Regions from separate parts of the Mus musculus genome. Here all the other regions are reported to be linked to region 1. Evidence: microRNA targets listed by miRTarBase, many of them from high-throughput screens and not tested one by one. Region 1 holds a microRNA gene; each other region holds the end of a gene's coding sequence.

Region 1 (4,067 bases):
GTGATGGCCGACTAGGCCATCTTTTGATATATATGCAGCTAGAGTCAAGAGCTCCGGGGTACTGGTTAGTTCATAATGTTGTTCCACCTATAGGGTTGCAGATCCCTTTAGCTCCTTGGCTACTTTCTCTAGCTCCTCCATTGGGAGCCCTATGATCCATCCATTAGCTGACTGTGAGCATCCACTTCTGTGTTTGCTAGGCCCCGGCATAGTCTCACAAGAGACAGCTACATCTGGGTCCTTTCAATAAAATCTTGCTAGTGTATGCAATGGTGTCAGCGTTTGGATGCTGATTATGGGGTGGATCCCTGGATATGGCAGTCTCTACATTGTCCATCCTTTCATCTCAGCTCCAAACTTTGTCTCTGTAACTCCTTCCATGGGTGTTTTGTTCCCAAATCTAAGGAGGGGCATAGTGTCCACACTGGGATTAAAGGAGTATATCAGCACTCCTGTCAAAAATTTTTAATTAAAAATAGATTGGTTGATTGCACATGGGTGTTTTCCTGCATTTTTGTATGTCTGTTCAGCACCTGCATGCCTGGCACATGTAGAGGATAGAAGAGAGCATGTGTCCCCTAAAACTGGAGTCAAAAATAATTGTGAGTTACTTTGAGTGCTGTAAGTTGAACAAAGGTCTTCTAGAAGAGCAGCCAATGCTTTAACTAATGAGTCATCTCTCCTGATCCAGATTTTATTTCATTTTTTATTATGCATATACTGTGGGAGCTTGTGTATGGATCTGTACACACAAATGCAGTGCTCTCATTAGCCAGAAGAGGGCACAAGAAACCCTAGAGCTCCAAGCTTAATGGCAGGATTGTAGAAAATATATAGATTAGTCTAATTTACACAATGAATTCCCATCCAGCCAGAGTTACATGGGTAGACCCTGTCTCAAACAAATAATTATGTATGCTGAACAACCTCCAAATTGACTAGAGTGAATACCTTAAATTGATTCAGTAGCTAAAAGGGTTTGTCAGGTCCATCTCTTTATTCTGCCCCAAAGGAAGAAACATAAGCAGTCCCGTTGACAATTTAGCTGGGCACTGGAGAGATGGATGGCTTTGTGGTTCAGAACATTGGCTGCTCTCTTCGAAGCACCTGGGTTCCATATCCTGTACTGACATCAGGTGGCTAAAACCATCTTTAACTCTACTTCAGAGAAACCAACATCCTCTTGATCATCTTGAAGCACCTGCATGCTGTAGTACACATACAAACACAAGCAAATACATACATGTATGCATAATATATACATGCAATATGCATACATGCACATGCACATGCACACATACATACATACATACATATTCTTTAAATTTAGCTCTAGGGCCTGGCATGGTGGGACATGCTGTTAATGCCACCTCTGTGAGACTGTGGCCAGGCAATTCTACATAGCAAGTTCCAGACTAGTCAGCTTCATAGTGATACCCTTTCTCAAAAACAAATCAATTAGCTTTTGCACATGCATGCACTTGAGAAATTGAAGTAGGAGGGTCAGGAGTTTGGGGTTCATCCAGGCCTACATGAGATCTCCACCAAAAAACAAAATCACTTTAGCCAAAATGATTAAATTGTGAGGTGTGCAACAGTATATATGACACACAAAGATGCATGAGCTTATGTACAGGAAGAGAGCAGAAAGGACACTGAGTGGCCTGCTCTATCATTCTCTGCTTTTTCCCCAGGCAGGATCTCTCACTGTACTTAGAATGGGGCCCCAGTGTTCTTCTGTTTCTGTTCAATAGCACTGGGGATATTGGGCAGCACATACTTTTTCATGTGGGTGTTGGGAAGCTGGACACAAGTCCCTAGCTTGTGCAACAAGTGCTCTTACCCACTGAGCCACCAGGAAATATGTAGTAGATTTTTTTTTAAATTTAATATCAAAGCGAAAAAGTCTGCATGATTAAAACTAAAGCCCTCGTAGCATGGTGGTATATATCTCAGCTGAAGACAGAAGAAAGACTGTAAAACTCGAGGCCAGCATGAGCTATCTAGTAAGTTCTAGACTACCCAGAACTACCTTGTAAAACTACATTGCAAAACACAAAGACAGTGAAATAATCCATTATCAAGTATTGCAGAGAAACCCAGCTTTCCAGCGTGGAAGTGGAAAGAGCCATCTGGGACAAAGTCTGCATAAAAAGACGACTGCACAAAACATGGGGAGCAGATTTTCTAGCTTGCTCTTGCTGCAGGGGGCCTTCCTAGAGGAAACCAATTGTTCCTTCTCCATGGAGAAACTCAGATCCATGAAAGTGGGGCAACGTGACTCTGTAATCTTATATTATCCATATTTCATGATACAGGAAGGACTATGTGCCTCATAGACCTAAATTAACACGAACAAAGAAGAGATTAGAAATTGCTTCTCCCTTGCTATGGAAAGAGACAGCATTTCACAGGGCCATTTATTGTCACAGTAACAAATGTTAACTTTGGAACTGGAGAGATAGCTCAGCGGTTAAGAGTACTGACTGCTCTTCCAGAGGTCCTGAGTTCAAATCCTAGCAACCAAATGGTGGCTCACAAACATCTGAAATGAGATCTGATGCACTTTTCTGGTGTGTCTGAAGACAGCTACAGATATGTATATTGTATATATATTGTGAGGTGTGCAACAGTATATATGACACACGCAGATGCATGAGCTTATGTACAGGAAGAGAGCAGAAAGGACACTGAGCGGCCTGCTCTATCATTCTCTGCTTTTTCCCCAGGCAGGATCTCTCACTGTACTTGGAACGGGGACCCAGTGTTATTCTGTTTCTGTTCAATAGCACTGGGGATATTGGGCAGCACATACTTTTTCATGTATGTAATACATGAAATACAGATATATTATTATACATAATAAATATATAAATCATTTACAAAACAAAAATATAAATAAATAAGCAAATGTTAACATTGAAAGTATTTGTAAGTTAAAACACTTGAATATTGCTGGGCATGGTGGTGCACACCGATAATCCCAGCACTCAGAAGGCAGAAGCAGGCAGATCTCTATGAGTTTGAGGCCAGCCTGATCTACAGAGTGAGTTCTAGGACAGCCAGGGCTGTTACACAGAGAAACACTGTCTTATAAACAAACAAACAAACAAAAAGCACTTGAAGATTTATCCATGTAGAGAAGGTATTGGGGCCAAGACAAGGTTCTTTCTCAAGTTTCTCTCTGTACTTTGTCATCACAAACCCTAGTTTATTTTAAATTGCTGTTTGACTTTCACTGTTTTTCTTTTTAACAAATACTATATAAATATACGGCTTCTCCTCAAAGCGGTGACATTTGTTGTAGGGGGTTGATGTATTAACAATCACTAGGGAAACTTGAGTCCCAGCTGAATGTGATGATGTGATCGGGCATACACATCCGTCTTCCCAACAATTACAAGATAGAAGCAGGATTATGAGTTTATGGTTAGCAATGGGTACATAGAGTTCATCCTGTAATATATGATGTCAGCCTAAGCTATGTGAGCTGTCAAACTATTATACTTAAAAATAAAATAAAACATGGGCTGGAGAGATGATTCAGTGGTCATGAGAATGGCTGTTCTTGCTGAAGACCTGAGTCTGTTTCTCAGCGCCCATATTACATGGCCCACAAACCCCACTCCAGCTCTGGGGGTGTTCAACATCCTCTTCCATGTACCCACACACACAATTAAAATGGAATTTAATAATAACCTTAAAAACAAACAAACAAATAAAAAAAAACAAAGCAACACCTCAGGCTTTTGTGAGAAAGAAACAACACAGCAAACTAGAGATTTCTTCTCCTTTCACCATCCAACTGTCACCCCTCTTTAAGAGTTTGACTTACATTTCAGGTGTCACACCAGCCTCAGAGGAAGTTGTGGGGTGGTGGGCTGTGCACTTGGTCCCCAGTCAAGCAGAGGTCTGGAAGCCTGGTGACCAGATGAGTGGTAACTTCTGCCTACATGGAATGGCAGATGTTCAGTCATGCCTCCTGGGTCCCTGGTTCCTGTCAGGTAGCTACAGCCTCCCACACCACCACCCCCTACCCTCAGCAGAGAGGGATGTGGCCATTAGTC
Region 2 (4,067 bases), not on the chromosome of region 1:
TTCTACAGCGAGGAGAACAAGGCTCCTGAGAGTGAGGAGCTGGAGATGGAGTTTGAAGACATGGAGAATGTCCCGTTGGATCGTTCCTCTCACTGTCAGAGAGAAGAGGCTGGGGGCCGGGAGGGAGGGTCCTCACTGAGCATCAAACGGACCTATGATGAACACATCCCCTATACCCACATGAATGGGGGCAAGAAGAACGGACGTGTCCTTACCCTGCCAAGGTCAAACCCTTCCTAACAGCGCCTTCTCCGGGAAGGATTCTTTTCTTTCTTTCTTTTTTAAAACTCTTCTGTAGTTTGACTGCCTCCAGGAAACTCAGGATTATCAGGACTCTGCCCAGATGTGAAACTGAGCTCAGAGATAGTTCATACACATTTCTGTTTGTCTTTTGACCTGAAAACACACAAGCGTGATCGCCAACCCTGTAAGCCTGTGGAGGGCTAACTGTGAACCTAGAGGGGTTGGGCTGTCCATGCTCCCTTCCCTGCCTCCACCGTATCAAACCAAGATTTTGTTGTTGGTGGTGTTCTTTTCCCCATAGATTGGAAGAATGTACCTGCTTTTTTACAGATATTTTTCTTCTTTTCTTTTCTTTTCTTTTCTTTTCTTTTCTTTTCTTTTCTTTTCTTTTCTTTTCTTTTCTTTCTTTTTTTTCCCCGTTAGTGTCTGAGTTACAGTTAGTTGTCAAAGACAGACTATTTATGGAGCACAAGTCAGAAAGCAAAGAAGAAACAGACAGAAAACAGAACAAAACAAAACAAAAACCAAACCTGACCTACAGAGCCTGGCTCTAGAATTATATGCTCTGCAGGGTTGGGCTTTGAGAAGGTTTCATTAATCTAAGAGAAGGATTTTATTTTATTTTATTTTACTTTTTTTCCTCATTCACAAAATCAGTTCCTCAAATTGACCAATAGCTGCTGCTTTCATATTTTATTTTGGGAAAGGGTGTGTATTCCTAAGTGTGTGCTCATCTGCACACCTGTGTGCATTTGTGTGTATGTTGTGTCCAGGTTAGAGATCACAGGGTGGGGTGGGGTGGGGTGGGGGTGGGGTGCTGTGTAAAATAGTCTCTGGACTGATGCTTGGTGAATTGGCTCCCGAAGCTCCTGCTGCTTGGAGTGGGTGACCTCATATTGTCCTCTTCCTTCTCATGAACTGAGAGTCTGTGCCCTCGAGAGAGTCTTCTCAGTCACATCAGAAGTCTTGCTCAGGTGTCTTCTTCCCCTTCCCTTTGATGATGTTTTCCGAAAACAGAGGGAGGATTATTTGGTCTGGATTCTTTGAGGATCTTTGGAAGACCAAACAAAGCAAAGGGGACACACACACACACACACACACACACACACACACACACACACACACTAGAAGGAAGTAAGGCAACAATTTTGAGAATATATTTGTAACATATTTAAAGCTTATGGAATCTCTGGTATGAGCCTAATAAGTTAGTATTTCTTTGGGAGCAGTGGTGGGCACATCTGCCTGTGTGGGGACACAGGACAATATGTGAGTGGCCTCTGGGTTTGGTCTTTGAAACACATATTTTTCTGGGAATTATACCACATTAGCTGCTAGCCCTTTAGGACTCGGGGAGTTCTTGTGGAGTCTGTGGGTAACTGGATATTCGACTGTTTCAGATAGTAACATTGACTGGATGTTTCTTGCTTGGATACACTGGTGGTTACCTGGAGCTGAGATGGCCTTCCAGAACACCTGTGTTCATCTGGTTTTTCTCTGCTTGTGTACCTCACTTCTTCAAGGCCTACACTTTGCTCAATCATTGTATAAACATACTAAACTCAGATCCCGAAGACCAATGACACAGATGGACTTTGAGAACACTAAGCAATATGTAAGGAGATGTACCCTTCCGATCCCCGCTGGTCTCCTCCACCTTTGGGGCATCTGGCTATTCTCTACACTAAACTCCCACAGCTGCTCTTGGCGTCCAGGGACCTCAGCTTGGGCCAGATATAGTGCCTGAGTTTATTTCTCAGGTGCTTATGTTTGAGTCTCTAGAGACTAAAGTCTGGAGGAGAAAACATCAGAGACTTTCTTCTCACCACCAAGAACTCGTGAAAGGATGTGAACTCACAACTTCTCTTTGCATAAAACCACAGCTGCTCAAGTAAAAGAAACAACTATGGTGAACTCAAAATCCTCCCAGAGGTTCTTTCCTGCGTGCATTTCCCACAAATATTTGATGCCTTTCTTCTCCCTTAGGAGATATGAGATAAAGACACACTGGCCACCCTGATTAAGAACACAAGGAAACATAAATCCTGGTTGTCAATTGCTGTGGAATTTATATTATAAAAATTGCAGCATGTAAAAATGTTGCCAGGGAACTCAATGATTGGCATAAGCATCAAGAGTTACAGTTACTTTTACCCAAAACACTTTGTAAATAGAAGGTCTGTGCATCAATGGAAGACACCGTAGGTATGGATATTTTTTGTTTATTTTTCCTTTTCACAGTAAATTTGTAGTGATGCTATACTAGCAGAAATTTTCACACCTTTCTACTTCAAAAGGTTTTCTTATAGTACCGGGGAAAGTATTTATTTTAATATATAAGATCACTCTTGAAAATCACTTTTGTAAAAAAATGTTATGAATGTAAATTTTTTTTTTATCAAGGAGAAATAAAAACAGGTGAGTGTGGGTCATTTTTTTTTTCCTTCTTCTCAGTACAGTCTACCTCAGTGTCTTATTAGGATGTGGTTCAGTAACAGATGTTGAGGCTTCAAGATTCTGGCTGAATCATTCTCTGAGTTGGGGAGCTGTGTACCATTTGATTTTTAAATGCCAGGGACTAGGGAGAACTTTGAAGGAGAGAGTTTAGATTAAAAAGTTAGAGCCTTCCTGTGAACCCAAAGTCTTCTTGTTGGTGATATTCTTCAGAGTATATTCTCCATACAAAAACCCATCTGTTGATTGCACACTCCTCACACACAAGCCACACTTCAAGTCATCATGATTTAGCTCTTTGGAGGCCCCTGATCTGAGGTCTTTGAAAAGTGGGTGTTCCTTTTACTGATGAGGCTGTGAGCCAGTACCTTCAGAAGTCACATGAAATCCCCCGGACATGAATGCAAAGGGAATCTGGGTTTTCTGACCATGATTTCTCACCCTGTTTAGACCCATGAGGCTGTTTGTGGGCACCTCTTACACAAATAGCTGATGCAAGGGTATTTGGAGAAATCCTGCTATGAAACCTATCAGTTTCCTGAACATATCTTAAACAATAAGATAGGAACCCTATGCTGGGGTTGGGTTGACTTCAAGCTGACACTGTTTGGCCTTGTGCAATCTTGAGAACTCTGGAAATCAAGGCGGGGCCAGCATGGCTCCTAGTTTCAAGCTTTGACATATTATTTCACTTTAGAACACTGTCCTTAAAATTTTACTCTTTTCCATCTTTTCTGGAAAGGTGCACCAACTTGGGTGACCCTACCAAAAAGGACTCCACTAATTCCATGTTGATATCTACTGTTGCTGGGAAGGAAACAAGTAGCTATTGGGTCATGAGACTCATTTTGGTTTCAGAAGATGTTAGCTTTGTGAGATCTAGAAAATCATGGCTATCCTGGGAGTTCGTAGTGATGGATGAAAGAGAGAGAGAAAAGAAAATAGAAACAAAAGCAAGTTACATTGATATTTCTTGTTGAGTTTTGGGAGATGTCTCATCATTTTAAAACTACTTTCATGATCATGATGAAATGCAGTTATTTCTTCCAGGATAGCAGCAGACATGTTGTCTGGTTCAATGATGTCAAGCATACATCAGGAGATGTTCATGTACTTGGAGCCTTTCTAAATGTTTCCCTGTCATTTGATGCTAGCTTGAAGGGAAGAGCCTTGATGGCTTTCTGGATTTAGGCTGAGCACAGTTTGGGAGAGTGGAGATTGGCAGGAAGAGCTGAACTGTATTGTGTGGCAGCTGGGTGTGGTGCCACCAACACAAGTAAAAACTATCCTTACTATCTTATCAGGACAGACGTTCTACCATGCACAGTGATTATTGGGTTAAGGGCTGTAATTTTATTTGAAACCTACCA
Region 3 (4,067 bases), not on the chromosome of region 1:
GATGCAGTAGCATGAGACAAGTTTGTCACATGAGGTCCCTGTTAGCTGCAGTTCTGCCTCTCACAGAGAACCTAAACTCATTTGCTAGGTAGAAGGAAGCTGACCTTTCCAGTCTCTGCTAATAATTGACCTACTGTATTAGTGGGGTGCAGGGGCTGGGGAGTGGCAGCATGGTTTTTATCTAATACTTCCCTAAATTTAGGTCTATTAAAAAGATTAAATAGTGACTTGTTAGAACATTTTTGTAGGTTCTAGAGCTAACACCAGCATTTGACACCTGTCTTATTTTTTTTCCAGGAAATTATGACCAGATCTGAAATAGCTGAAAAAATGTTCTCTTCAGAAAAGATAATGTGATCAGGGCCCCAGTGGGTCCGGTGTGTGCAGGAGCACAGTCAGGTGATGGGAAAAGCCTGGCTCTCATCAAAACTGACAGCTTCACTATGATACGTGTTTCCCTTTGTTGTCTTGGAGATCTGTGTATGCAGATGAAGAATTCAGGAGTGGGAGGGTCTGCCACCCTCAGAAAGCCATCTTTAAAACTAACTTAGACAGTCAGTTTCATGGCCATTAAGTTGCCTGATTTGGAAACAATTTAAGAAGTTAACAACATGTGCTCAGATGCCTCTTAGGCGGCAGCCACAGGCATGCCATGTTGTGTGTCTCAGTTTTCTCTGGACAAACGAATCTGTAGCTGGGCTGGCGGCACACTACTGGTAAATTCAAAACCACGCCTGGTCTACATAGTTCTGGGACAACCAGAGAGAGCTACATAGTGAGACCCTGCCTCAAAAAAAACAAAAACCAAAAAGGAAAAGGAAAGAGAAGAATCTATGAGCATTCCTTCCCTCGCCTTCGAGATAACGTGATTCTCCTGAATGCTAACACAGCACTGTTCATCTTTTGTAATGATAATTTTATTTGATTTTTTTATACTGAAGTGACAATATTGGAACTCGAGCATGTTCATATATTTAATCTTGTCCCTTTCATTGGTGTACACAAAGCTCTTGTTTGTAAATACCACCATGCACTACACATCACGGAGTCTGAGCTCGGGAACACGTATGGGCAAAGAGAGACGTCTTGAGGGTATGTCCAAAGACTTGCAGGCCACAGGTACACGTGCTGCTGCTACTTCTGCTGTGAACCTGGCCATGTGACTCCCCTACAGCACTTTATCTCAGCCCCGGTGCACTGTTTCTTGTGAGCCTTGTGGAGACTTGTGAGATATACAAACATCTAACCTTACCATGCATCAACATGTACTTAACCAGCTCTCAACCATATCTTACACCTTGTTGTTAAATTATGTTTATAATGTATGATTGAAAGTTTCTATTCTAATATTTTTTGAATATAGAATGTTCTAGACTTGAAAGGCACTTGAATGTAGAGTGATGAAAATGTGAACGTTTTGCCACGTTCGTGACCAAAGATACCAGGCTGTTGGACATGTAATGTGGTAATGACAGGCAGGGTCTTGTATGCCTTCTCTGGAGGACTTCTGCCCTGTGAGTTAGAATAACTTGGGATAATTGAGAAAACATGAAAATGACAAGGAAGAGCACTATCCATAGCCTATGATGATTTTTTCACTGTGGCACCACAAAACAAAAGGTTTTCTTTCAAATGCCTACTTTCTGAGTTTATTTCCTGCGTACTCGTTTCAAAAGGGTTGGTAGTGACATATTTCTATAGTTGCGTGTCCGTTTTAGGTTTGTCATAGTCCACCTTGTAACCCAGCTCTGTGAAAACTGGGGATGTCTTGCACGGGGAGGAGCATTGCAGGGTGTCACTGTATAGCTCTGGCTGAGGATGGGCTTGCGAACCTCTTGCTAAGACTCTAGGCATGCACTACCATGGCCTGCTTCACGTTTTTAGTACCCTGTCCTCACAGCATGAAGTAGCTGACTCTCAACCCACAGGTCTGCACTTGAGTATTTCTGCTTAGAGCCAGCAGGAGCTACACATTGAGCAGGGTGAGTCTGCAGTTGATGGCTGGGGAAATGCTTCTGACACCACCTCAATGGGATTTCTAAAAAGCAGGGAAGACAAATGATGCTGCCTCTGGTGTAGCTCCAGACTGAAATGACTCTCTGTCCAGAGAAAGTGGACTTCCATCTTAACCTCCTTACAAGTGTTTTTGCAAGCATGTGTGTGGTGTCTGTTGCATTTACTGATAACTGCCAGGTGCTAATGTTCAGTGCCCTAAAGTGAGTGTTTCTCGGGGCCCTTCTTAGCCCCAGCATGTGTCCCTGTGCTGCCACTGTAGCTGACAAGGACGGGAGGTGCACCCAGGACCTCCGTGCAGCTCCTCAGGCTCCTTCCCCGTCTGCCCCAAGTCTGCAGACCACACTGGGACCTCACAGGTGCTCAGCTCAGCCTCCGTTCAGGATGCTGCTGTAGGATGGCTCTGGTAATTGAGAACACTAAGGATCAGGCTCCAGTTGTATTCAAGACTTCTTGTTATACAGTTCATGTTAGATTTGGAGGCATATGAAGTTTGCTTGAGACATTTTTTTCGTGCTTTGAATTAGGTTAATATTTAAAAATCTGCCTTTGGGGGTATTTATTACATTTCAGTAAGAAACAGGAGGTGGAAATTGTAAGCTTGGGAGTTGGTAGGATACTCCCATGCATTTCCTGTTTTTTGTTTGTTTGTTTGCTTTTTTGGGTTTTGTTTTTAATCTGTCCTGTGCAGAGTGCCACCTGTATCACGGTACATCATGTTTATACTACTATGTCAAGATTAAGCTTAAAGTATACATACAGAGTTGATTTTTATACCCTCTTGAAGGTTTGGAGCTATTGCCCTGGCTGTATATGACTGAAGCTGAGAGAGATCATGCTACGTTTTGTCTCTCGTTCTGATATTTGTGTCTTTGTATGGTTGACAGCATGCAGTAAGCAATATAAAACACCAAGCCTTACGTCTATCAGAAAGAAGTTTAATATATAAAATTCTGAACATATAAATATATTTAAGTGACAATACTAGAGTTTTAAGGAAGTGTGTACTCCAGGACGGGGACTCCAGGGCGGGGACTCAATACTGTACTTAGAAGCTTCTTCAGAATTAGGGAAACATTCATTTCCTTGGGGAGAAAGTTTAGAGGTTAAAAATAGATTCTCTATTTTAAAAAGTTAAATTATAATTTGGAAGAAATTTCTTTGACTATAGAACACAGCAATTTAAAGGAATTTTGTTTGAAATTTTGTATTTTTGTGCCTTAATATTTGGTTTTTTAATAAATTGCTTTCTGACATTTGGAGATTGTTTCCTGGGATTATCTGTTAGTGCTGCCTCATGAAAATCCATAGGGGATGTGGACTCAGGAGATGGCACGAGATAGAGTTCTTTAAAGGAGAGGTGTAGCTCAAAGTCAGAAAGAAGTCCAGCCTCAGGTGTGGTACAGTAGAACGTGTCATTTACAACCCAGGCTAGCCTAAACGTGGCCTCCTGACTGTTTTTGTATGTATTAGTGTGTGTCTGTGTGTGTCTCTGTCTGTCTGTCTGTCTGTCAGCTCTCAGTGATGAAATGAGAGCATCATTCATGGTGACACCATTGACTCAGTCTTTGTGAAAAGTCCGACTATGTTTAGGACTGTTGATAATGCCAGCTCTCTCAATGTTTTTAAAGATCTTTCAAAATACAGAGCAAGGTTTCTGCACACACACACACTAAAACTAGAAACAGCGAGTGAATGGCCGCACCAGACAAGAAGAATGAGTGAGTTGTGGCTTGTCCGCTTCTTATGCAATGGTTGCCGCTTTTGAGTTAAAGTGAAGAATTTGTGACACCAGGAAAGAACATATATGAAGCCTGAAGAGGGGCACGTGTGAGACTTTGTACACCTATGGGAAGCAAAACAGGACTGAACAGCAAATTGTTGAATGGCCCACAGCCTGGGCTACCATTGAGGTTCAGCTACCATGTGATCACAGCCAGGTCCAGCCCTTCAGAAAAATATCCATGGGCTGGAAAGATGCTCAGCAGTTGAGAGCACTTACTCTTGCAGAGGATCTGGGTTTTTTCCAACACCCACGTGGCAGCTCACAACTG
Region 4 (4,067 bases), not on the chromosome of region 1:
AACAGAAGCGGTTTCAGCAGAGCCGCCGAGCAGCGGTGCTTATCCAGCAGCACTACCGCTCCTACCGCCGCAGGCCGGGGCCTCCTCACCGGCCCTCAGGCCCCCTTCCTGCTCGAAACAAGTAGGGACCACCCCTTCCTGCCCCTATACAGCCCTCAGTTTACCTCTTTGTTAATGCCCACTACCTCTATCGGCCCTCCAGCCTTTCCCTACAATGGTCTTAAAGTGGGGACTCTTCTTTCCCACCAGGGGCACCTTTCTCACCAAGAAGCAAGACCAGGCAGCCCGGAAAATAATGAGGTTCCTGCGGCGCTGCCGACACAGGTTCTAACCCCATCCTTACCTCTCTGCCCTGACACCTTTTCTGATCCATCAGTCTCCTCTGACTTGGCTCTGTCTCTCCGCAGAATGAGGGAACTGAAGCAGAACCAGGAGCTGGAGGGGCTGCCCCAGCCAGGACTGGCCACCTGACCTCTCCAACGCCTTTCTTCAAAACCCTGGGAGCCCCTTCTGGCTGTCTAAACAAGGAGAGGGCTTTCGGGACTAGGGGAGCCCCCTGTCGGCAGCTCTTCACCCCTTCACCTTTTTGGGAGCCCTTCGTAGAACCCCCGCCCCCAGGCCTTACACGTTTCCTCCCTTCTGGTTGTGCCTCCTCTTTTGGTCTCCGGCTCCAGAAGACCCACGCCCCACATATCTGCATCTTCAGCTGTGACCTCCGGAGCCCTGCCTGCACCTTCTCCATATCCCCGTTCCTGCCTGCACCTGACTCGGACCTTCCTGACTTGCCTTATTTATTTGTTCGAGAGTCTCTGATGAATGTATCCGCCTCGGTCCCCACCGCTGCCTTCGCTGCGCGCGCCCTCGTGTTTCAGGGGTGACTGCCCCCACCTTGACTCCGCATGTTTGCGTCTGTTTCCTCCTTTCCTGGCCCTGTCTTCCCCATCACCCTGACTCTCTGGTCGCCCACGTAGGGGCCAAAGAGGAGGGGGTGTACATAGGATCGCGAGGCGGAGTCCCGCTCCCGTGGGGAGGGGTGTGTACATAACTGTAACATACAGAGTATAGTGAAGAATCTATTTAAGGCGCTGCGCGGCCGGGCGTCTGATTCCCTGGCGCGGCGGGAGCCCCCGGCTGGCTCCACGAGCACTTTCTACTTGTGCATGGGCTTGGTTTATACGAATTGCCATTAAACGTCTCTGCACCAGCTAGCCTCCGGCCTCTCTCTGCTGGGGGCGGGGTAGGAAGGTCGCCACGCAAGTCGCCGGCCTCATCTCGCTGCCTTAAGCGGGGCGGAGCAGCGCGGTTTTTCGCTTCCGACGTGTTTCCGGCCTTAAAGGCATTTCGTCCTTCCCTTTAAGACGCACCGCCCCCTCTCACTCATTCCCAAGATGGCGGACCTACTGGGCTCCATCCTGAGCTCCATGGAGAAACCACCCAGCCTCGGTGACCAGGAGAGTCGGCGCAAGGCCCGAGGTGAGGATCCCAGATTCACAACCGCGTATCTTCGCCCGATTCTTGGGACCACACTCTTCCCTCTTTGAATAATGCCACCTCCTACCCTAACAGACCCCCCACAGGCCACTTCTGAGACCCTCAGAGTCCCTAAAAGGCCTGTCGGCCCGCCCGCTGTCTTTTGCAAACAATGATTGGCTACCTCAGCCTGCCTTCTACCTCCAGTCTCTTCTTCCTATCCTCGCCTTTTACAGTCCTTGTTTGCGATTGGTCAACGGGCCTGCCTGTCTGCTGTTGGTGAGCTCTGATTAGTAGGATGCCTTTCTTCCGATTGGAGGATGTCGTATCCATCGCCTCGGTCCCGCGAATCTCCAGTTCTATTACGATTGAGTTTAGGGCACGCCCATCCACCCGTCTGTTCCCCTCTATTGGCTAGCTCAGCCAAAAGCTCTACCTTTAAAGTGTTACCTTTTCTGACCGACCTCAGCCTCAGCTCCTCCCATTGGTTGGCTGGATCCTCCTATCTTTATGCCCCTTCTTGAGTTGACCCAGTCCCTCATACCTTCCACCGCCCTTTCCTAACTATAGCCTTAAATTCCTGTGCTGCCCAACTAGATCGTGATGTTGATTGGAGAGATGAGAATGCCCCGCAGGCTCCGATTCGCCATCTCTCCTTCCCAGCCCCCGCGCTGAGTAGCTAACCAGAAAGCTCGCTGGGGTTTGGCAGCCAGGGTAGGGTGCGGCCCGAAGTGGCCTGCCCTGTATTGGCTTGGAGCGCATGTGAAGGACTTTATAGAAAGGATAGCCTTAGGTGCATCCAGCTCCCAACCACGTGAGCCTTGGTCGTGGATAAGTCTCCTACCCGCACCTACTACCCATCTGCTCAAAGGAGGCAAGACAGGATGCTTTCAGAATGTTCAAAGACTGTTAAATATCTGTACTCCCTTATTTACAAAACTTGTGAAGCCAAAGATGCTCATCAAGGAGATTATAGACCATGTCTGGGACGTTTATTAATGATCATACGGAATTTTAATAACCAATTAATATACATGTGTAGGAAAGATTAATTGGGAGTCCCAGGCTTGTCTGAAATGAGCCGAGCAACAAAGAATAGGTAACTCAGTAAAGGGAGTGCAGTCTGTTCGAAAGCTATGGGAAAGCAGAGCTTAATAGGAAACAGGAGTTAGAGTTACTTAATGTTCAGCTGAGTAATAGGTGTGCTCCCATCAGCCGTCAGAATAGGAGGCTTTAGCCACTTGCCTCGGGTCTCAGGTTACTAAGCTGAATTTGGAACCCAGATGTGAGCTCGTAGCCTCAGTGTTCTTATGCTACCTCCCAAGATGCAGAAAACACTGGAAAAGCAATCAGAACACAATGAAAGGCCAAGATAGTGAAGTCAGACAGACGAGAGCTTCTAGTTTGTCAGGTCTTGGACTCTGACGTCTAACTGGACAGGTGAGCAGGGTCAACCCTCCAGCAGCTCATAGCCTGGTAAGGGAGACAGGGGGAAAAACAAAACAAAAAACCCCACGTCTTTAGCAGTGAATGTGCTTAGAGCGTAGAGGAAGTCTTGACTCACGGTGAGGATTCAGTGTTTGCTGTGAGAGGAGGAAGAGCATTCCAGAGAGAAGGAGCACGTGCAGAAGCATGGAGTGACTAGAAAACAGGAAGAATTCAGTGCCACTTTGGGGACTCAGTCCTGTGGAAGAAGCAAGCTTGGATTTTGAAACACCAAAAGAAAGGGGAAGGGACATTTGAAGCTGAGGAACAGGAGGAAGATGTGTGCCCAATCACAAGAGGCAGCAACCCCCTACCATGGGAAGCGACAGGCAGGATAAGGAACCAGGTTAAAAGTAGCTGAGCGGGCTGGAGAGATGGCTCACGGTTAAGAGGACAGACTGCTCTTCCTGGGAACCTGAGTTAGATTTGCAGACTCCACATCAGGTTCCTTACAACTGCCTGTAACCCCAGCTCCTGGGGGGAATCTGACATCTCAGATCTCTGTGGGCACTCGGATTCATACATAGACGAATATGCATAGTTAAGATAATAAAAATAAATCTAAGGAAAAAAGGTAGTCTGGTGGCTGGGAATGTTTCTCAGTCAGCGGTGAAACACTTAGCATATGGAAGACCCTAGGTTCAAGTCTCAACACCACATTTGTCAGTCCTCGGCTAGCATATCTGTAAGTTTGAGGCCAGCATGGACTCCATAGTGAGTTTCAGGTCTGCCTGGAAGTCTCAAAGCTGGGAGTAGGGAGAGAGAGCGGACAGCCCCGTATTGCTTATAGTTGGGGTTGCGGCTCAGTGCCAGAGCTCATGTCTAGGTATATCCCTGGGGTTGCAGCTGTCCCCCAAGGGCAGACGGGATGATCTGGTACAAAGGCAGGATCTGAGAGAGGGGAGGAGCATTCGGTAAAAGAGGAGAGTTTATTTATGGCTAACTTTGGACACCTCTGCCTCCAAAGAAAAGGTCAATGTCTTAGGGTTCCTGCTGCTATGAGGAGGCGCGTGATTGAAAAGCACTCAATGGGCTTTCTAGACCAGAGTTCCAGATTTCTTCTTCAGTGGCCCCACCCCCACCCCCAGCCCCCAAGCAAACCCAACATGGCC
Region 5 (4,067 bases), not on the chromosome of region 1:
TCAGCCAAATTAAAAACACCAGGCTGATTTATATTTTGACCTTTCTAGCGTGGCAAGTGAACAGTCTCAGATTTAGCTCACATGACTTAAAATCCTAAGTCAAACAGATAAGCAAATACCCCCCCACCCCCAACCCAACCCAACCCAACCCATCCCAACCCAACCCAAACCAACCCAACCCAACCCAACCAACCCAAACCAAACATCCCCCAAACTCAACCAATCAAGCAAGCAACCACCCAACCAAAAACAGCCTCCCAAACCAACCAATCAACCCATCACTTAAACAAGCAAAACCAAGAAACAATGGACTATCTCCAGGCTGACAATGGAAAATGTCAAGATATCATATGAAGTACTCCTCTGTGAACGTTTTATACAATCTAGTAGGAACATATACCCCACTGGAAAAATGAAAGGAATCTTGGAAAAGAAACAAAGTCATCCAAAGATTATGGCTTTTCATTGGATGAGGAAAGACAAATATAGAGAGTGTGTGTGTGCCTTATCAAAGTCATCAAAGTCAATATAAGGCTTGATCCCTTTTAGCCATTTGGTTCTCTTCATATTTAGCCCTTTTCCATTACATAGAAGAGAGATATACCTCCCTCTCAGCCACAGCTCACAGAGGAAGTAAATATTTGTTTATGAGTTGCATAGTTTGAATAAACAGTTAAAATTGGACACATTTATTAAAAGATAAAAAATACAAGGGAATTCCCTAGCCCAAACTTGTGGCTGGTGGCAAACAACGAAAGTATTGATTGATTACCAGAGGCTAAGTTCCTGATTACCAGAGGCTAAGTTCCTTATTACAGAGAAGCATCGATTTTGTGACAATGTCTACAGTTTTCCACCAAATACTAACACATTAATATATATATATATATATATATATATATATATATCAGTACTCCTTAAAGACCAAATGCCCAGTTTTTAAACATTCACAGTAAAAAGTAAAATATTCAGGCTCAGACATCAATTAGTTTTAACCTAAGCAACCTAGCATTCCCTTGGAAATATTCAATCCCTCCAAATGACAACTTCCAAATAAAACACATTTCCTTCTTCCCTTTAGTCACGTTCCTTACGTATATATTTTTCTTAAAGTGCAAGAAAGTAAAGCTATAACTTGATTAGAACAAGGAACAGAGTGCTTATATAGACTGTTATGTGAAAATAATAAAAGATGTCTGCTCAGGGTCCCTCGCTCCAAGACCCATCCTTTCAGGAGTTGAGCTGTCCCAGGCACTCTGTAAACATTTATTTTCTTCTAGAGAGAAATCTCAGAAGTGTGGCCAGAGCTGTCTCCTTTTATCCCCCCAACCCCCTTCTCATCAGCTTTGGCTCTCGAGCCATGGAGACCCGGCTCCTATTCTGATTTCTTTCAGATACCTTCCCAAAGGCTACCAGCTTCCCTGGCAAACTTTGAGAGAGATGTCTCAGGGAACTGAGGTAGCCCCACTCACCCAAGCTCCCGAGGATCAAGCAGGTTAGAATCGTCATGTAAAACTCAGCCTCCATTTTCCACTTAACAACGGTTCATGCTTCGCTTTGGGGAAAAAAAAAATTTCTCCCAGATAAGAGAGGCAAAGAGTAGGAAGGAAACGTGCTTCACGGAGAGGGGGAAAGTCAGTGACACACTTCCTCCAATTGAATTGTTTGGGGGGGAAGTTTTACACCAGTGTCCTTTTGTCTGTTTCCTTAGAAAGGAGGGATAATGTCCATCTCTTTTTAAAATGTAGAGCCAGCCTCCGGGAGCCAGAACAAACCCCAGAAAGTCACCCCTGCCACCCCTCTGGCACATGCTTATGTCTTAACCTCAAGATGGAGAAAGGGAATCGTAATGGTAGATAATTGAGTCTTCCTGCATCACGGCTTCTTTTCAGGTGATACGATTCTGCCCCATCTACGTAAGCCATGTAATTTATGGGGTCTGTGACAAGTGATATAAAGACATAAACATGTACTGTTTGTATAATGAGATGCTGGCGTCCATAAGGAAAACCACATAATGATGGAGCTCTGAGATCATTATCTCTCAAGTGATTACAAGATTGCAATTGGAGAGAGTCATCTCCCGCCCTGAGGAAAAGACTAAAATTAAATCCGTCCTATTACCTCCTTCAGTTTACCGGGAGTAAGTAAAGAAGAGGCTTCACTCAGTATTTACTGTTAAGAGTCATTTATTGGGAGTACGAAAGAAAGTCAGCTTTGCTGCATTGAAAATTCATATCTGAGCAGAACATCTCCTGTTTGCTGAGTGTGATTATTTTGCCTTCATTTGTCTCTTGAGGAAGGAGGTCTTTTAGAAATGTGAGGTCGTGCATGACAGTGTCCTCGGAAAAACTTTTGGGGATGAAACAGGTTGGAGCATTCCCCAAAGGCACCTGCTTCTTATTGGGAGAGAGATACCAGGTAGACACCATATTTAAAAATCCCTTCTTAGTAAAAGAGAGATGAGTATTTAAAATTATTGATACTTTATAGTTGCTATAAATTTGTTTATCCCCTTTTAAAGTAAAACAAGTCACAATGTAGAAATATAGTAGTTAGTATTGTGGAACAGGAGCCACTTGTATGCCTAATAATAGAATATATATGTGTACATATACATATAATATACATATACATATACATATATATCCAACGACAGTCATTGTGCTCTGTAATTGATCCATAGGAGATACTATAAATGCACACTTAATAGATATAATCAAGACACATGTCCATATAAAATAGTCACTGCATTTGATTTTTTTTTTTTTTCCAAAAACAAAAATGTCTTGGTTAAAAATCCATTGTCGATCACTCGAAACTTGAGCAGCAAGATTCTGGTAACTGAGATAGTTAATAGCACTTACAACAGGGACAGTTGGACAGCTGACAGTCCAGTCACAAGACAGGCTTTATGAACATTAAAGCATCTAAACACAGGATAATGTCAGCAGCTCCTCCAGTCTCTGAATATCACACACATCGATTCTGTGCGGCGGAGAGGCGACACAGACAGAACAAAACCCTCCTCAGGCTGCGAGAGGACTGTCATGCCTCCATCAGCACAGGACCTTCAGAATAACTGGGGGGATGCCTACGAACGCAGTCCTATACACAAAGGCTGGCAATCTTTCATGTTGCCAGATCTTCCACAATCAGTGCCTTAGGCTGGCTTTAGAGCCTCCTCGTCCATTGCAGGGAGCCCCTCTTGGAGCTCTTGGTAGGTAATTTGATGAATCACCCGGTGAGAGATTGACACTCTGGTAAATCTTCGGAGTCACTCGACAGTTTCTGGTGAAAGTCTGCTCTCGAACAGGCACAGAGCATGGTGCACAAATTCATACTGCTCGCTGGTTTGGACCATACCACCCCTGCATGGAAGAGATTATAAAATCACTCAGTTTTGCTGACACCTTATAATACTGTAACCGAAACATGACGCTAGAATGAGTCTTATGCCAAACAGGCAGAATAGCTGATCTAGTGAATTTTTTTTCTACCCTTTTTACCATCCTGGCTGGCGAAGTTAATATGTTAGTGCAGTCCCATGCTGTGCACCAATGCTGTATCATGGTGCGTTATGCACAGGTTAGCGATAACGATGATGCTGGTGTGAACGAGCCTACCTGGTGGCAGCTGTAATTACTGTACATTTCCTTGGAATGGATCATGCTAACTTTGTTGATAGCATTGGTATTTACTATGCTTCTTAGTGTGACTTAGCATGTACTCTGATTTCAGTGTTAAGGGTTGACTGGACAACTGTATGCCATGTAAGGCTAGCAGCCACTGCGTGCATCTCATAGCTATTGCACCTCTTGACAGTGCCATCTTCTCCTGTGCTTCCATTGGTTCCTGGTGGCTTTGAGAGAAGCAGGAAATGCTGTACATATAGCACGTCATCTAGTTGTGTGGTAGGTCATGCTATCCGGGTTTTTACATGTAGACTATATAATGTTCACATAACAATGAAGCTGTCTAATGATACATTTTTGAGACCACCTCTCCATAATTAAGCAACACATGACTCTCTCTCTCTATTCATATATATACACACATATATACAT
Region 6 (4,067 bases), not on the chromosome of region 1:
GATGGTGTAGGTTAGAGATGGGGTCTTCCTCTATTGATGGTGTAGGTTAGAGATGGGGTCTTCCTCTATTGATGGTATAGGTTAGAGATGGGGTCTTCCTCTATTGATGGTATAGGTTAGAGATGGGGTCTTCCTCTATTGATGGTATAGGTTAGAGATGGGGTCTTCCTCTATTGATGGTATAGGTTAGGGATGGGGTCTTCCTCTATTGATGGTATAGGTTAGAGATGGGGTCTTCCTCTATTGATGGTGTAGGTTAGGGGATGGGGTCTCTTTTGAAAGTCTGTGTTCAGCATGGTAATGGGTATGTTTAATCTTAGGAAGCAGGGGCAGGATGAGTTTGAGGACAATCTGGTCTACATAAGGAGTGGGCCAGCCAGAGCTATTTAATGAGACCATGCCAAAAGGGAGGAAGGATGGAGGGGGAGGGGAGAGAGAGGGAGAGAGAGATCCCGCTCATGTGCATGACTTGTGTATGTGCTTTTCCTGGCAGGTGGCATCCTTGGCTGGGCTTGGAGGACAAGTGGAAATAGAACAGAACTTTCTTAACAACAAGTTAAAGACCATCACTGCATACTTTGGTGACCTGATCAGAAGACCAGCACTTCTGAAGACCAGCACTTCTGAAGCGGAAGTGTGATACTGTAAAGCACAGAGAGATCATGTGGAGTGAGGATGTATGACATTCAAGTGAGAGACAGGAGGAAGGCCTTCCTAGGTTCTTTAATACTGTGTGCACATGTGATGTGGAAAACTCCGAGTTTTAAAGGATGCTAATGAAGTGGTTTGAGATCTTTAGGTAATGGTAATGGATCTGTGTTGTACACTTTAAAACAGCATCAGGGCAAGGTGATAGTGGTGCCTGCAATCCCAGCACTTCAGAAAGATCATGAGTTCAAGCTCATGCTGTGCTTCCTAACAAATCAAGGCTGGCCTGAGCTACATGAGATCTTGCCACAAAAAAGAAAAAAATCATAAAAAGTCTAGGCATATCCCTGTGCTTAAATTAAGTACATCTGTATATGTATTTGTTTTCATTCTTTAACTGTTTTAGCTTAACATCTTTGTGTCTGTGTAAGTAATTATTAGTTTTTTAAAATATAAAGAAAAACAAAGCAATTCTACCTACACGTGTAATCCCTATTGAAATAATGTTACCAATTTAATGCTAACACAGAAAAAGTAAAACTCCCACCACCTAACCTACCTTCTTTTCAGCTATCTAAAGCTAATCACAGTTAGCAGGACTTTGCTTTTTAACTTTTTTATTACATTTTTATTTTGTCTATATGTGCATGCATGCGTGTGTGTAGAGGTCAGAGGACAACTTGCTAGAGTCCATTCTCTACTTACACCATGTGGGTTCCTGGGAATCAAGTTAAAGTCATTAGACTTTATAACCAGAGCCTTTACCTACTGAGCCAACCCATTGGTCCCCTCTTAATTCTTCTGAAGAAAAGATCGCAGTATAACAGTGTACCCCGGTGCACTTCTCCATTGATGCACTCACTGTGCGTTCATTGCCTTCCCTTTGTGGATACTTAATGTATAGTATATGAAATAATTGCTTTTGTGAGAGAGAGAATGTGTTTGTGCGCAAGAGAGATGTGCGTGTGTGCATGTGTGTGCGCCTACTTTGACCCAAGTCCAGGGAAGAGTGTTGGATTCCTTATAGCTGGAGTTACAGATGGTTATGAGCTGTCAAATGTGGGTACTGGGAAATGCACTTGGGTCCTCTGGAAGTGGAAGTAAGTTCTCTCTCCAGCCCAAGATGGGCTTTTTAATCAGTGTTTTTGCTTTTCTGTTTTGGTATGGTTTTGTTGTTATTGTTTTGTTTTGTCTTGTTTTGTTTTTTTGTATACCCAGGCTGGCCTCATACTTTGTGTGTAACTCAGAGTGACTTTGAGCTCCTAACCCTTCTGGCTCCACCTACTGCACCTGGCTTATCAGAGTATCTTGAAAGCCATTCTATTTCAGTTCATACATGTCAATCTACCTCGTGTTTTAAATGGCTATTTTGTATTCCATCATCTATATATATAAACTAGTTCCCTACTGAGAGGCACCCAAGCTGTTTTTATGGTTTTATCGTTACCAACTGTTTATGCACTGTCTTTCCTTACAATATTTGCTGTTGAACAAGTATTTCAGTTGGTAAGTTTCTAGAAGTTACACCACTGGGCTTTTGTACATTTCAGTCTCGATAAAAAGACTAAATTGCTTCAATAAAATTGAACTTGCTTTTAGGCTTATCTCAAATTTTGTTTTATTTTTTGCTTTAACCAGATTTATTTTTAAAGCTTTGTGTGTATGTGCGAGTGCTACCTATACAGATGCCCTCAGGAGCCAGAAGAGGGTGTCAGATCTCCTGGAATAGAAGTTACAAGTGGATGTGAGTCCCTAAAATGTGTGGGTTCTTAACTCTCCAGCACACAACCTTTTACTTAGTCATGTATGAAATAATGTAATATAGAAGGTAATGTTTTTAATGTTTTGTTAAAGATTGCAGTCTACAGTGTGCCTCCATGTGAACCAATAAAGCAGGAATATCAGGTTAAGGTTAATGGACTATATTCCAAAGACAGAAACAAGGGAAGCCATTCAGAAATGTACAGCAAGAGTGTGAGGCAGATGGAAATTGTTGAAAACAATTCCAACTGTGAACCAAAATGAGGAAAGCCCATTTAGATCCAGTTGCGGCTGCAGAACAGTTTAGCATTGAGAAGGGTTTCCTAGAACTGAAGAGATGACTCTGTGGTTAAGAGTGAGTACTGTTCATGCAGAGGACCTAAGTTCACTTTCCAGCACTCAGATGCCATCTGGAGAGGAAACCCACTGTGTAAAACTGAGTACATGGAACAATCAACTTAGCATATCTGATTCAGCTGTTCGCCATCTCAGGCTGCGAGACAATCTGGAGAGAGACATATGTAGAGCAAGAGTGCCTACACTTCAGAGAGCAGGGAGAGGTAGCCTCACCAATACCTGAAAGCAGACATCATCAAATAATAAATTAAGATAATAAAGAGTTCAGTAGCTGAGTGTCCTGGCTAGTTTTGTAACAGTTGACACAAGCAAGAGTCACTTGGAGATGAGGGAGCTTCAACTGAGAATGTCTTAATAAGATCAGGCTTTATGCAGGCCTGTGGGATGTTAGTGATTGATGTGACCACCAGCCCATTGTGTTTGAGGCCATCCCTGGGCTGGTGGTCAAAGAACGATGAACAAGGCAGTAAGCAGCCCTCCATGGCTAAAGCATCACCTGCTAGGTTCCTCCTGCAGTTCTTGCATTTTTGCTCTGATTTCCTTCAGTGATGGTGTGCACGTGGCAATGTAAGCCAAATAAACCCTTTTCTAACCAATTTGCTCCTGGTCATAGTGTATCATCATAGCAATAGTCACCCTAACTAGGACACTGGGCCAGAAGACTGCAGTAGGCCAGCTTCTAGAGCCAGCTACCTGCCATGAGGTTCAGTGCTACTAAAGATAAACTGCAAAACCCCAGTGGAAGACTTGGCATCACAGCTGCCTCCCACCAGCAAGGTGATGAACACTTGGCAGATTTTGAAAGTATGAAAACAGCTCTTCCTGTACAGATCCTCTGATTGGCTGGCTTCCCCCACCCCAGACTGTGCTCTAGTTTCCCCTGGTCCTATTCCTTTATCTCATTCATTTGCTACTTTCATTTTTAACCTGATGTTTACTATTTTTTCACTTCATAGTACACTGCATTTTTAGTAGTTGGTTCTATGTTAGTTGACTTTACTTGATAGTAAGTGTATTCCTGTATCTTGTATAGGTTGATACAGCCACTGTTACACTAGTTTTCTCAATGAATGGTCCTGGAGACTAAGCCCTCCAGAGCAAACGAGCCTCAGACAAAACCAGAAATTATATCCAAACTAGGAGATGCATAAATTACAAACAAAAACACAATAAAGTCACGAAGTAGCTCAGCAGATAAAAGCAATTCTCAGTGTTCTTATTTCTGCAATAAAGCACTAACCAAAACCAGCTTGGAGAAGAAGCTTAGAGAAGCGTATCTCATCTTACAACTCCCAGGTCTG
Region 7 (4,067 bases), not on the chromosome of region 1:
CAACTGGTTTCCTCCGCCCAGTCCCGAGCCCTGGACTGAACTCTCTTTTTTCAGTCTCAAACCGAAGAAGGGGCCTAAAGAGATACCTCATTGGTTAAGGGCACTGGCTACTCTTCCAGAGGACCCAAAATAGATTCCGAGCACCTACGTGGAAGGCCCAAACATCTGTAACTCTAGTTCCAGGAGAACAGGGGCCCTCTTCTGGCTTCCACGGACACCAGTTATGCATGTGCTTCACAGACATATGCAAGCAAAACACCCATTCACATAAAATAAAAATAGAATAATTTAAGAAATAACTGAAGAGATTGAACTAGCCACCCTAAAGTGATGTTCAACCTGCATGCAGTTCAGGATCTTTCAAGGATGGGAATTCAAATTAGTGATCCCCAAACTTGTATCTTAAATTTGTTGATCGAAAATTCTGTTTCAGTTATTATATGTGTACGTTGTGAGTTACTATTAAAAAAAAATCTTACTGGGATGAGGACTCCAGGAGATTAATATAAAGGAAACAGGGTGCCTTTCCCTAACCCACGAGGTCTCCATACCAGGTCTAAGTACACCTTTGTGCTCATTTCTTCATCCTTCTCGTTCTAGAATGGAAAAGTTAAAAGGCAGAAGTGAAATGAAGTGGGTGGAAACGAGGGTTCGGTGAGTTACTTTCTCCATGGAATCTCTAGTCCCTTTCTCTAAATTGCACCTTCTTGGGTGCAAACTCCATCTCATATCAATCTCGAAACACCAGCCTTGGTGCCTGCTTTCCTTTCTTTTACGTCGAGGTTAAGTCACGGGCCACGCCCGGCGTCTAATGGATACAACTCTGAATCTCCGCTCAGAGTTGTTTATTGACTGCTTAGGTACCAAGCTCTGCTGGACTTTGCTAGAATATTACACAGCCCCGCCTCGAGGTCCTCCCGGTAGCAGGTCCTTCTGCCCCAGCTCCGCCTCAAAACCCGCCCACAGGCGAGTTAGCAGAACAGTATTCTGTACCTATCATAGAGGCCTCGCCCATGAACTAGTTCATTGGTCTGATTTTTACCCAATCACCGCCAAAGGCTTGTCTGCCTCTTAGCATAACCCGCCCGCCCCCAGGCTGTCGATCTTCTGGGCAGCGTCTAAAGCCACGCCCCCAGTCGGTCCTGCCCAGCGACTCCACCCGCAGTGCCGCTCTCACCAGGCTGATGAGTTGCGCCAGGGTGAGGCCGATGCTGACCCCGACGCGGTCTCCCACCTCCCGCGCCGGCCTCACCGAGCTATCATAGTTGGAGAAAAGTTTCTTAATCAGTTGGCCTTCGGCTTCCGACCCGCGGGCGCCTGACGAAGGAAAGCACTAAGTGACGCTCCCGGGGCTGGCCGTGACCATTGCTCATCACTGCCTCTTGGAGACCCAAACTGACTTACCTGGGGCGAGGGGCGTCCCGAGTACCCCTAGAAGCAGAAGCAGCGCCCCTAAGGCCATGGCCCTGCCTCTTTCGCTCAGTGAAGTTTGTCCGGATAGCGGCCTCAGGCCAGGGGAAGTGACGAGGCGCCCAGGAATGTGCACCTGTTGTCGGGGGACCAGACGCCAGCCCACCCGCCCCGCCCTCGGGACTTGGTCCCGCCCGGAGCAACTGCAGTCGCCCTCCACTCACAAATGTCAGATAACACTCCGGTTGTATAAATCATCTTTAATTACAGAAAGCATGAAGTGGAGACCCCGTCCCCTGAGAGCAGTGCCAGGAGATGGGCGGAGCCTGAGCGGGGTTTGTATGAGGGAGGGGGGCATCTCTTGCAACAAGCCAGAAGTAAAAGGGCCTGAGGAAAAGTGACCTGTCTTTGAGCACTAGCCCCTCCCTTAGGACCTCAATAGACGTTTCCACCTACATCTGCTAGACTCAGAATCTACCTCCTATTTTACTAGAGGTTCCCCATGGCTTTCTCCGTTTTTCAGGTCCTTTTTGGGTACTTAGAACCCACCTGAGGTTTAAAAGCTGTAAAGTAAAGTAAATTCTATTTAGTTAGAAGCTCTGGGGATACATATGAGGTCTGGGAGCCCAAGAGGCTCCTCGTTTCCTAAGCCTGACCTGTAGAGGGCTCGGAGAAGTTGAACTTATTGCTGAGTTGGGGGTCTCTCTGCTGTGAGGGGGAGTCAAGGCTGTGTCCCTATTTGTCCTTTTTAATTCTAGAGTTATTCTCATTGTAGACCTTAGCTTCCTGTTGTTTGAGACAGGGTCTCACATAGCCTAGGCTGGCCCTGACCTCACTAGGTAGCCCAGGCTAGCCTTTTATTTCCTGATTCTCCTCCTCTCCTTTACCTCACAGATGCAGCATACCATATCAGAACGAAAGTCCTCAGCTTTAAAAGGGATCTGGAAGGAATTCCTGCTGAGGTAGCTAAGTGTTCAGACACAGGTTCAATCATACCATGGCATTTTCTCCCTCTCAGCTTCCCTTCTAGGAGCCAGGTATATTCTTCCAGAATTCCTGTATCTTTCCCCAGACTCTTGTCTCCCTGGCAGAACCCTAGTTGGAATGCTGAAACTAGAAACCATGTAAAAGTAAGGTTAGTATTCTGGAGGGACTATTTTTAGAAAATTATTTAGGAAAAGCAAGAAGTGGTTCTTGATCCGTTCAGTACTGATTAGTTCTCTCTCTCTCTCTCTCTCTCTCTCTCTTTCTCTCTCTCTCTCTCTGTGTGTGTGTGTGTGTGTGTGTGTGTATGTGTGTGTGTGTATTGGCTTTTGAGACAGGGTTTTGCTATTGTAGCCCAGGATGGCCTCCAACTCAGGATCTGTCTGATTCAGCCTCCCGGGTGCTGAATTACAGGTGTGTGCCACCAAGCACAGCTCAGAGCCAATCAGTTTTTAATTAATCATAGCTGAGTTCTACCCATAGCTCATCCTTTAATTGCTAGAGAAAGTGGAAGGGTAGGTCTAGAACTTACTCTAGTACAATAATATGGCTATACAGGCCCTAGCTCCATCCGGGAAGAAAGGGCTGAGAGTCATGGGCTATGTCCTAGAACTGAGATTCAGGAGGAAGTATGGCTCCAGAAAGGTCTAGAATACCACGTTCTAGAATTGGGTGTCTCTGGGATAAGAAGGTTTAATCAGTGGTGACCTGAGACTGGTCCCAATTCAGACCAAGGCCAATTGCTACAGTAGGGGGCCTCTTTTTTAAAGCCAGGGGTGGGAGGTGTCCATCTAGGACAAGGATAGACGTGGAAAGGATACATACTTGGGTTCCAACACAGAACATAGGGATGGCCCTGCCTGGCTGGGGTGACCAGCTCTATCAGAACCTGTCCAGACCAAGTCAGAAGGTAGAGCAGAGAGAGAAGGAGATGCATTCTGAGTGCCAGTGGACCGACCTAGAAAGCTATGGCTTCGAGACGATGCAAAGAAGGACATGGCTTCAGAGACTGGCTCAGCCAGGGTGAAGAGTATTACCTTCCTGCCTTGAGTGTTGGAACCCCGGTGCCTTTTAGGAAAAAAAATGGGTGTTCTCTTAAGGGGTAGGAATTAGTGTGGAAAAAAGAGAAGTGATCAGGCAGGGTCATCTCAGGCACCCCCATCTTGGGACCTCTCCTGGGCCCCAGGATCTAAGAGCTCAGCAACTCCGGAGGTCCCTGACAGCCCCGAAGCTCCCACAGGGTGCAGCACCTGCTGAGACCTGACTGCTCAGGGCATGTGTGTGGCAACAGGGGTGAGAGCGGCAAGGCCCGGCGCAGGGCTAGGACACAGGATGTGGCGGTGGCTGACTCACTGGAAGAGCAGGGAGCCTCCAGTCCAGGGACTATATCTCAGTGGGCAGGGGGACTGGAAGGGGAGGTCTCAGGAACACTGTGGAGAGAAGGCTCCCGGTACATGGCCACTGTGGAGGGGAGAGAGAGAGAGGAGCAAGGAAGGAGAATTAGGCACATAGGGAGCCAGGAAGAAGCAGAGCTCTGAGAGGCCTCCCTTCTCTTACACTCACCCTTAGAGAACCCCAACCCAAAAGAAGAGAGCTTCCTAACCCCCCAAAGGCCAAAGCCTTCCTGCCTCCATCTGCCATAACAACATCTTGTTGAACATTTATGGCCTGCC

Evidence for each region. The annotated mature microRNA mmu-miR-297a-5p reads AUGUAUGUGUGCAUGUGCAUGU and lies in region 1 at 1,282-1,303, opposite strand. An mRNA with a match to its seed (bases 2 to 7 or 8) in the 3' UTR can be bound and repressed. Matches are read on the target gene's strand: a 7mer-m8 pairs with bases 2 to 8, a 7mer-A1 pairs with bases 2 to 7 and ends in A, and an 8mer does both.
Region 2: the mRNA of Insr is a reported target of mmu-miR-297a-5p. Seed matches in the 3' UTR shown: 7mer-A1 at 2,922-2,928.
Region 3: the mRNA of Tmem87b is a reported target of mmu-miR-297a-5p. Seed matches in the 3' UTR shown: 7mer-m8 at 2,768-2,774.
Region 4: miRTarBase lists Camta2 as a target of mmu-miR-297a-5p. Seed matches in the 3' UTR shown: 7mer-m8 at 1,051-1,057.
Region 5: the mRNA of Ptprr is a reported target of mmu-miR-297a-5p. Seed matches in the 3' UTR shown: 7mer-A1 at 2,580-2,586.
Region 6: the mRNA of Tgs1 is a reported target of mmu-miR-297a-5p. The part of its 3' UTR that is shown has no 7-base or 8-base seed match.
Region 7: miRTarBase lists Fgf11 as a target of mmu-miR-297a-5p. Seed matches in the 3' UTR shown: 7mer-m8 at 2,699-2,705 and 7mer-A1 at 1,748-1,754.

The regions. Positions count from the first base shown.
Region 1 is chr7:10,957,196-10,961,262 of GRCm38, forward strand. Mir297-1 (microRNA 297-1) reads right to left here and starts at 1,317; the gene lies at 1,242-1,317.
Region 2 is chr8:3,151,842-3,155,908 of GRCm38, reverse strand. Insr (insulin receptor) reads left to right here. Exons shown (of 21, transcript NM_010568.3): 21 at 1-4,067. The coding sequence ends at 240. Among named protein-coding and RNA genes, the nearest start is that of Gm30220, 63 kb to the right of the region's middle.
Region 3 is chr2:128,850,987-128,855,053 of GRCm38, forward strand. Tmem87b (transmembrane protein 87B) reads left to right here. Exons shown (of 19, transcript NM_001355629.1): 19 at 298-3,275. The coding sequence ends at 357. Among named protein-coding and RNA genes, the nearest start is that of Fbln7, 11 kb to the right of the region's middle.
Region 4 is chr11:70,666,603-70,670,669 of GRCm38, reverse strand. It overlaps Camta2 (calmodulin binding transcription activator 2), which reads left to right. Exons shown (of 23, transcript NM_001190376.1): 21 at 1-121; 22 at 250-324; 23 at 408-1,207. The coding sequence ends at 471. It overlaps Spag7 (sperm associated antigen 7), which reads left to right and starts at 1,254. Exons shown (of 7, transcript NM_172561.3): 1 at 1,254-1,473. The coding sequence starts at 1,389.
Region 5 is chr10:116,273,037-116,277,103 of GRCm38, reverse strand. It overlaps Ptprr (protein tyrosine phosphatase, receptor type, R), which reads right to left. Exons shown (of 14, transcript NM_011217.2): 14 at 2,175-3,371. The coding sequence ends at 3,278. It also overlaps a transcript of Ptprb not described here. Among named protein-coding and RNA genes, the nearest start is that of Ptprb, 26 kb to the left of the region's middle.
Region 6 is chr4:3,614,366-3,618,432 of GRCm38, forward strand. It overlaps Tgs1 (trimethylguanosine synthase 1), which reads left to right. Exons shown (of 13, transcript NM_054089.4): 13 at 494-2,259. The coding sequence ends at 640. Among named protein-coding and RNA genes, the nearest start is that of 2210414B05Rik, 40 kb to the right of the region's middle.
Region 7 is chr11:69,794,418-69,798,484 of GRCm38, forward strand. It overlaps Fgf11 (fibroblast growth factor 11), which reads right to left. Exons shown (of 5, transcript NM_001362623.1): 5 at 1,651-3,855. The coding sequence ends at 3,785. It overlaps Chrnb1 (cholinergic receptor, nicotinic, beta polypeptide 1 (muscle)), which reads right to left and starts at 1,520. Exons shown (of 11, transcript NM_009601.4): 1 at 1,405-1,520; 2 at 1,178-1,317; 3 at 552-596. The coding sequence starts at 1,462.